2 linked regions of the Mus musculus genome follow. The protein of the gene in region 2 purifies or fractionates together with the protein of the main gene of each other region. This does not show direct contact. Links are inferred from orthologs where the notes say so. Each region holds a gene or a part of one and is shown on either strand. Other genes may lie near its edges. The genes, in order: Rc3h1 and Fau.

Region 1 (3,819 bases), on a different chromosome or scaffold from region 2:
AAAACAGGTAGATGAGAGAGTATACACTAAAGTATACAGTACAACCCACCTTTTCTCACTACCTTTTGAAAATGCTGCAAACTAGCATGAAAAAGCAGTACAGAGAACAGTGTACAGACTATATATCTCTTCTATAAAAGACCATGAAAAGTAACATTTTATTGTGTAAACATATCTTAATATTACAGAGTCCAAAAGAGCAACCATCCCATCTGCTTCCCTAATGAGTACATTAAACAGAAACTTTAAAATTTCTAATTAATTCCCTTGTTTTCCCCAAAGTCTTTGACAAAGGACAAACCTAAAATAATAATACCACCAGATGACAACTCATCTTTATTAGAATCACCCTAAATATTACTTATTCCTCAAGGTACCTGGAATCAGCTCTAGAGTCACAGAGTTCATTCCACCTTCCCCACCTTCAGCACTCACCATACTCAATTCCCGGGTCCTCTTCCCAATTTCTCTTTCCACCTGATGCAGTTCCAAGCTGAGCTGCTCACTTGAGATCATTCCAGGCCATTTTGGAGGCAGCTGAGGGGGCTGTGGCTGGCTTGCCAGGGTGTTCACCTCCCTCTGTAACACCAGCCGGTTACTAACAGCCTAGTGCACAAAGCCAAGCACACACATAATTCAGCGCACCTCATGCCACATAGAAAACACTTTACCCAAAGTATTTTACCACTAAACTAGCCACAAGTTTGCAGTAAAAATAACCCAACTATAAACACATTTTGTCTTAATAGCACTTGAGAAACATGGTTTTAATTTTAAAAGATGTATTTTATTTTTAAGGGAGAGTGAGTTTTAAAAGATGTGTTTTATTTTCGAGAGAGAGAGACAGAGACAGAGACAGAGATGGCGTGTGTGAATGTTGCGATGTACACATTAAACAGAAATGCAGATGCCTATGGCTGCCAGAAGGAGAGCTGGATCCCCAGGAGCTTGAGTTATAGGCAGTTGTAAGACAGGAACCAAACTTGTATCCTCTGCAAGAATGGTAAGACATATTTCCAGCACCAAAAATAATTTAATCTTTTTTCCTATTTCAAAGAGAAATCAATTATAAATGTGTATCTTTCTTTCTCATTGCTATTTTCCATGATGTAAATCCTATATTTTTTTCTATAAAAACTCAATGTTCTTGAGGCAGGCTTTCTTTCCTTTTTCCTCCACTACTGTTTATTCTCAGACAATATTCTTTTTCTATTAGCCAAGAACTAAATTTAGTTCTGAATCCTCTGAAGAAGGGATATCTATACTAACGTTAGGCAAAGGCTTTAAAATTACGTGCTGCTTTACTGTGTCTCAGAACTTACTATTTAAGGAGACTGGAGAGGTGTTTTGATGGTTAGGATCAGATACCGCTCTTGTTGATGCCCTGGGTTTTGTTCTCAGCATACATGTCAGGAGGCCTACAACAACTGCTATAATTCCAGCTCCAGGCAGATCCTCCAACATCTGTATTCATGTGCACATACCACCCCACAAAATACATATACACGATGAAAGAAAATTATATCCAACTTAACATTCTTGGGAGCTCTTCAGAACTAGAGCACAAAACGGGCACAGTGCTGAACACTGAAAGCTCGATGTAAGTACCAATGTGGCCACACAGGAGGATCCTGAGTCTGAAGCCATGTGGGCTACACAGTGGTACTCTACATCAAAATTCCTGACACAAGAAAAAAGTATCTGTAGGTCTGTACCTCTAGTCCTCGTAGCTGGGTCTGCTGGCTGATCTGATGGTTCAGCTGCTGCAATTCTAGCCGTAATTGTTCTCTTTCAGCAGATAGAAGGGGTTTTCCATGACTGGCCACTTCTGCCATGGACATTTTCTCCCTTTGGTAAAAAAGAAAGAAACCATTAGGTAAATTTTGTATAAAGTTTTATTTTGTGAAATCACTACTGACTAGAAAACAAAGCAAGGAAAGCTAAATGTTTCAGATATTTATAACAAGTGAACAAGAATGGCTGTACCTCTCAATGAAGTGTCCCTGAGGAGGTATGTTTGCATGAGGTGAGTATGGAGAATCTCCCCAGCCACCATGAGCTCCATATGCACTGTAATCTGTAAAGGAACAGTTTACTGTGGTTTATGATGTCATTTACCAGTTTGATTCATCTAAGGCACTATCATCCAGAAGGCAGCGGCACACGGTATCTGTCTCTGCAGAAAGCTGTCTGCCAAAATGACAATGCATTTGTTTCTTCCCCATTGAACCTTCAGGTTTTGCATACTTTCTTTTCACTGTGTGCACGAGTGTTTGAATGTAGGGGTGAGGGTTGGTGTCAGATTATCTTCCCAAAGCACTAGGATTACACACACAACACATACGCATACGCGCACGCACGCCTACATTTTATGTGGGTACTGGGGATCCAAACTCAGATCTTCTTTATCCAGCCAGTCACCTCCTCAGACTCCAAGAATCTTATTTTAATAAATAATGAAGTTATTTAAGATAAAAGTCACAAGCAGCACCCCCCCCCTTGAGACAGGATCATTAGCCCAGAATAGCCTTGAAATCCCTATGCACCCAAAGCTGCACTTGAACATTCCGATCTCCCTACCTCCATCTCTCCAGTACTAGGATTACTGGCATGTGCCATAGCTGGTTTATGTGGTTTGGGGTATTGAATACAGGGTCTCATATATATTAGGCATACACTCTATCAACTGAGCTTTACACCTTAGCCCCTCAAGCAGTCTTAATATAGAAAGAGTTAATTTTAGTTTATACTCCTAAAATTGCCTGAAGTGCAATTGCTTTCTTATAGGGAAAAGTTTAATAATTGCCTTTAAGAGTCTTAAAAGCAGGCTGGTGAGATGGCTCAGTGGGTAAGAGCACCCGACTGCTCTTCCAAAGGTCCGGAGTTCAAATCCCAGCAACCACATGGTGGCTCACAACCATCTGTAATGAGATCTGACTCCCTCTTCTGGAGTGTCTGAAGACAGCTACAGTGTACTTACATATAACCAATAAATAAATCTTTAAAAAAAAGTCTTAAAAGCACTGATAGAATTACATTGAGAATCATAATTACCACTCTAGGATTCTTACCGGAAATGTTAATAGATTTTGTGGGTGCTCCCTGAGGTGCTATAGCTTGCAGTGGGCCAGCACCCTGATACAGTGTTTTGGATGTTCGAGAGATGGCACCGAATCGAGAGACTGTTGGTCGGTCTCCAAACGGGATGAGGTCATCATCGCTCGTCTCCACTGCTCTTCTCTGAAGGTCCAACCTCTGCTCTCTCGTTCCTTTACTTTCTACATTCTAACAAAAAGCAAAAATGAGAGTATGTTTAGCATAATTTCTACCAGCTCTGTAAAGGGGTTGTTAATAAGAGTATGATGTTCTTATTAGTAAGAATAAGTCTTTAGCTGTCTTTGGATGTCATATAAAACATTGGTTTTAGATCACAGTAAGAATTATATGACCAACAATTACAGACAGATGATAGTAGATGATAAATCTACCCATTCCTAAGTCATATGTATGAACATTAACTTGTCAGGCAAGCACTTTACCCCTGAGCTATAAGTCAATGCTGAGAGGCACTGAGTTAAGGCTTCTTTCATGTATCTGGAAAAACTTTTAATGGCATCTATACTAGGTTAGTAGTTTTATTTTATTTTTCCTAATTTAAGGAATTAGCATTACTTTGGTAATGTTACTTCAGTGTGATACCCCCCCCCCTTTTTTTAAAGATATATTTATTTAGTATATGTAAGTACACTGTAGCTGTCTTCAGACATCCCAGAAGAGGGCATCAGATCTCATTATGGATGGTTGTGAGCCACCATGTGG
Region 2 (3,566 bases):
AGTTCAAATCCCAGAAACCACATGGTGGCTCACAACCATCTGTAATGAGATCTGACTCCTTCTGGAGTGTCTGAGGACAGCTACAGTGTACTTACATATAATAAATAAATAAATCTTAAAAAACAAACAAAAAAAAAAAAACAATGTTTTCCCTCAAGTTGTGTTGAAATTTAGTTTGTATTGTTAAGCATTATGAGGTCTATAGAGGGGTAGATGGGTGATCTGCCTTAGTGGATCATCTATAGGGCATGCCTGTAACAAAAACACTAGTGCCGTCATAATGGAAAGTGAACCAACACAAACCCAAAAGCTGTCTGGCAGAGCCCATAGAATCTGTACCTTTCCAATACCACTTGTCACATTTCTGTATTTCGGCTCAGCTATCCTTTCAGTAAACACATCCTCTGTGATCTTCTAAGGATTCCTTGTTTTTTTGTTTTGTTTTTCAAGACAGGGCTTCTCTGTGTAGCCCTGGCTGTCCTGGAACTCACTTTGTAGACCAGGCTGGCCTCCAACTCATAAATCCACCTGCCTCAGCCTCCCAAGTGCTGGGATTAAAGGCGTGCCCCACCACTGCCCCCCCCCTTTTTTTCCTACTTGAGACCAAGGCACTTTGCTAGCCTCTAGTCACAGCCTTACAAATGAAGAAAACATAAGAAGTCTGGACACAGTGGCTTTATTAGCATGGCAGGGTGGCAATAGGACTTAGGAATTGGCATTGGGGCCCTTCTTCTTCCCAAAGGTGGGCACAACATTGACAAAGCGCCGGTTGTACTGCATTCGCCTCTTGGCCCGGCCTGTCTTCTTCTTCTTCTTTTCCTGTTTGGCCACCTGAGGAAAGGAAGGACTGATCAGACCCTGGGTGACCTCTCCCATGCCTGCCCACCAGCTTCTCTCCATAAGAGAACACAGACGGGAAATCCAAAGGCCTTCACTTGGCTGTGATAGAAAGAAACAAAGTCCAAACACCAATCACTCACCTTGGGAGTCTGACCTCTCACTTTTCCAGCCCGAGCCAGGGAACCGTGAACTTTACCTGTGTTAGGGGTGGGGAAAGGGATCAGGTTAAGTAGCAAGGTCACGCCCAGAGCAACTCTTCCTCCCTCAACTCTTGAGCTTTTTAATGACAAGTTGGGCCCAACAAAGAATGAAAGTTGCACAGGCTTAGAGACAGGGTCACAACATAGCTGTCCACGTCTTGTCTTCCACTTCAAGTCACAACCAGTTTGTGCAGTGCTGAGAGCTGACAGATACTAAGGCAAGGACTCTAAAAACCAATCCATACTCTTAGCTAACATTCTACACACAGAGCAAAGACAGGAGGAGCACACTGAGAACCTAATAACAAGACTTTAATTATTATTACTTTCCTTTTGCTTTTTTCCTAGACAGAGCTCCTCTGTGTAGCCCTGGTTGGCCTGGAATTCACAGTGATCCGATTGCGTCACTGCCTCCCTACCACCAGGTTTTAGTGGGGATACTGAAAACCAGACTTAACTATCACTACGATCTAAAGTCCCTAGAAGGCACAAGTATACTATCAGAGAAAGGACCTATCACATGGTTTACCTACAGACATTCCATTAGCTCTGAAAAAAAGCACTCACCTCCCAGCATGCGGCCTGCTACTTCCAGAGTGGTCAGGGCCTCTACGCCACACTGGCCTAGGGTGGCCTCATCCTCCAGCGGCGAGCCTGCCAGAAGCACGACTTGATCTTCGGGGGCAATGCCTTCCAGGGAGGCCACATGATCCTTAAGGAAAAAAAGGAGCAATGTTTATAAGTAGACAAACTTTCCCCGTGGGCCTGGAGGTAAAGGAGTGCAGTTAGGAATCAGGGATCAGTACATACTTACTTTGATCTGGGCGACCGTCTCCTGGCCGGTCACCTCGAGGGTGTGTAGTTCCTGGGCGCGGACAAAGAGCTGCATGTTGGCTACTGAAGGAAGAAAGGCTTGTGAGTGATGATAGGGAGCAGCCCAGGAGAAAGGTCGCGGTACGGTAATCAAGGCGGGGGATTGCGCGGTCTCCCATGCGGAAGGCCAGGCTCGCCGGGGACCCGGATGGAGACGGAGCGAAGGCCGCAGAACCGCCCTTGTACTTTGCCTTCCCCGCACCCTCTGAGCCCGTAGACCGCTGGCTACCGAGCGCTCCTGGCCCAGCAGTCCCCCGTGTCTCACCTAGCCCGCGGACGCCGCTGCTGCTACCGCGAAGATGGAGTCAAGAAAGAGGAAGAAGTGGGGGCGCGCACGTCCTCACCGCCTGCTGCGTGTGACGTCACTGCAGCGCGACCGCGCGGATCGCTGGTGGTTTGTACCGCCCACCGCCGTCCCAGCCCGCCCCTTACGCTGTACGCAGGCGTTCGGTCCTTGTGGCCTGCGCGCGCAGAGGGAGGCGGGGCGAGCCCGGCTGCGCGCGCATATGACACTCAGTTGAGGCGCCAAGATGGCAGCAGCGGTGTTGCGAGCCGCTTTGCAGGACTGGAGGAGCTGCCTCGGTCGGAGCTACGGGCGACGGAAGCTGGTAAGAGCCCGGTGGACAGAAGGCTGTGTGTGAGCCTCACTGTTGCTCATGACCACCCTGAACTTCGTATTCCCTCACGAGGCCTTAGATTTGCTATGTACTCCGCTTCATTTTATGGAGGGTAGATTGAGGGTGGAGAGGGCAGGTGCAGAGCCTGGACTGCGCTTGGAGAGTCTGGGTTTGGGAATGTGGCTGCCGCATCCCAAGAGTTGGGTAAGACCGAGAGCAGCTGTATGTCCCCGCTCGGTGCCTGATCGATCAAGCATGTCATTTCGGAGTTAAAGAGTTTCAAAAACATGTTCAAAGACAAATACTGAAGAGTACTGTATAGGTCAGTCGTATGCTTAATCGGCTTTTCCGGATTATGCACGTTTGCCATTTGAGTCCTGGAGAGGTCTTGGGATTCTGACTGAGAATTTTCTTTCAGGTCACTCCCACCCCCACCCCCGGTATCATGCACACTAAAATATCCAAGTCTGGTGCTTTTCTCAGTTCAAGTTTTTACTCATGCTTTTTTTTTTAAGCTAAAGTTCTCCTGTGTTAATTAAACTAAAGGAAAGATGGTTTGTTTTGCCTTAGAGCCAGACCCAGGGGCCTCCTGATAACCCCGGCTTTGTGGAGTCTGTGGATGAATACCAATTTGTGGAGCGCCTGCTCCCCCCTACCAAAATCCCAGAGCCACCAAAACATAAACATTACCCCACTCCTAGTGGTTGGCAGCCTCCCAGAGGTGAGTTGAACAATAGAGGCTTTGGACTTTCCAGTGGGTTTCGAAGTTCTAAGATGTAGGAGGGTTAGTATTGTCCTGCCCCTGGGGAAGGTACCAACAGCAGCACCCTATGTTCCTGGGGTGAGGTCTTACCTTGTAGTGAAAAAGCAGAGAAGACCCATGTGTGTGGAGTTCTCTTCTTCCAGTCCAACGAACCCTATGTAAATTCAACAAAATGGGTATCATCTCAGTATGTGAAACCTTAATGCAGAGTCCAGTGTGGGGTTTTTGTTTTGTTTTGTTTTGTTTTGTTTTGTTTTGTAAAGTCTCATTGCC

The links.
Region 1: the proteins of Fau (region 2) and Rc3h1 purify together in Homo sapiens (affinity purification with mass spectrometry; 3 studies listed by BioGRID, with this or other methods). This does not show direct contact. The link is inferred for Mus musculus from reciprocal best matches to the Homo sapiens genes FAU and RC3H1.

Annotation. Positions count from the first base shown.
Region 1 is NC_000067.6:160,961,737-160,965,555, reverse strand, and holds part of Rc3h1 (roquin-1), read right to left. Parts: intron 3,286-3,819; coding exon 3,072-3,285; intron 2,078-3,071; coding exon 1,987-2,077; intron 1,849-1,986; coding exon 1,716-1,848; intron 607-1,715; coding exon 436-606; intron 1-435. UniProt on the Homo sapiens protein: Post-transcriptional repressor of mRNAs containing a conserved stem loop motif, called constitutive decay element (CDE), which is often located in the 3'-UTR, as in HMGXB3, ICOS, IER3, NFKBID, NFKBIZ, PPP1R10, TNF, TNFRSF4 and in many more mRNAs.
Region 2 is NC_000085.6:6,056,614-6,060,179, reverse strand, and holds Fau (40S ribosomal protein S30), read right to left. Parts: upstream 2,234-3,566; 5' UTR 2,179-2,233; exon of another isoform or gene 1,938-2,178; 5' UTR 1,930-1,937; coding exon 1,855-1,929; intron 1,753-1,854; coding exon 1,608-1,752; intron 1,037-1,607; coding exon 981-1,036; intron 832-980; coding exon 706-831; 3' UTR 656-705; downstream 1-655. Other genes in the region: Mrpl49 (39S ribosomal protein L49, mitochondrial), read left to right, coding at 2,444-2,521, 3,101-3,251.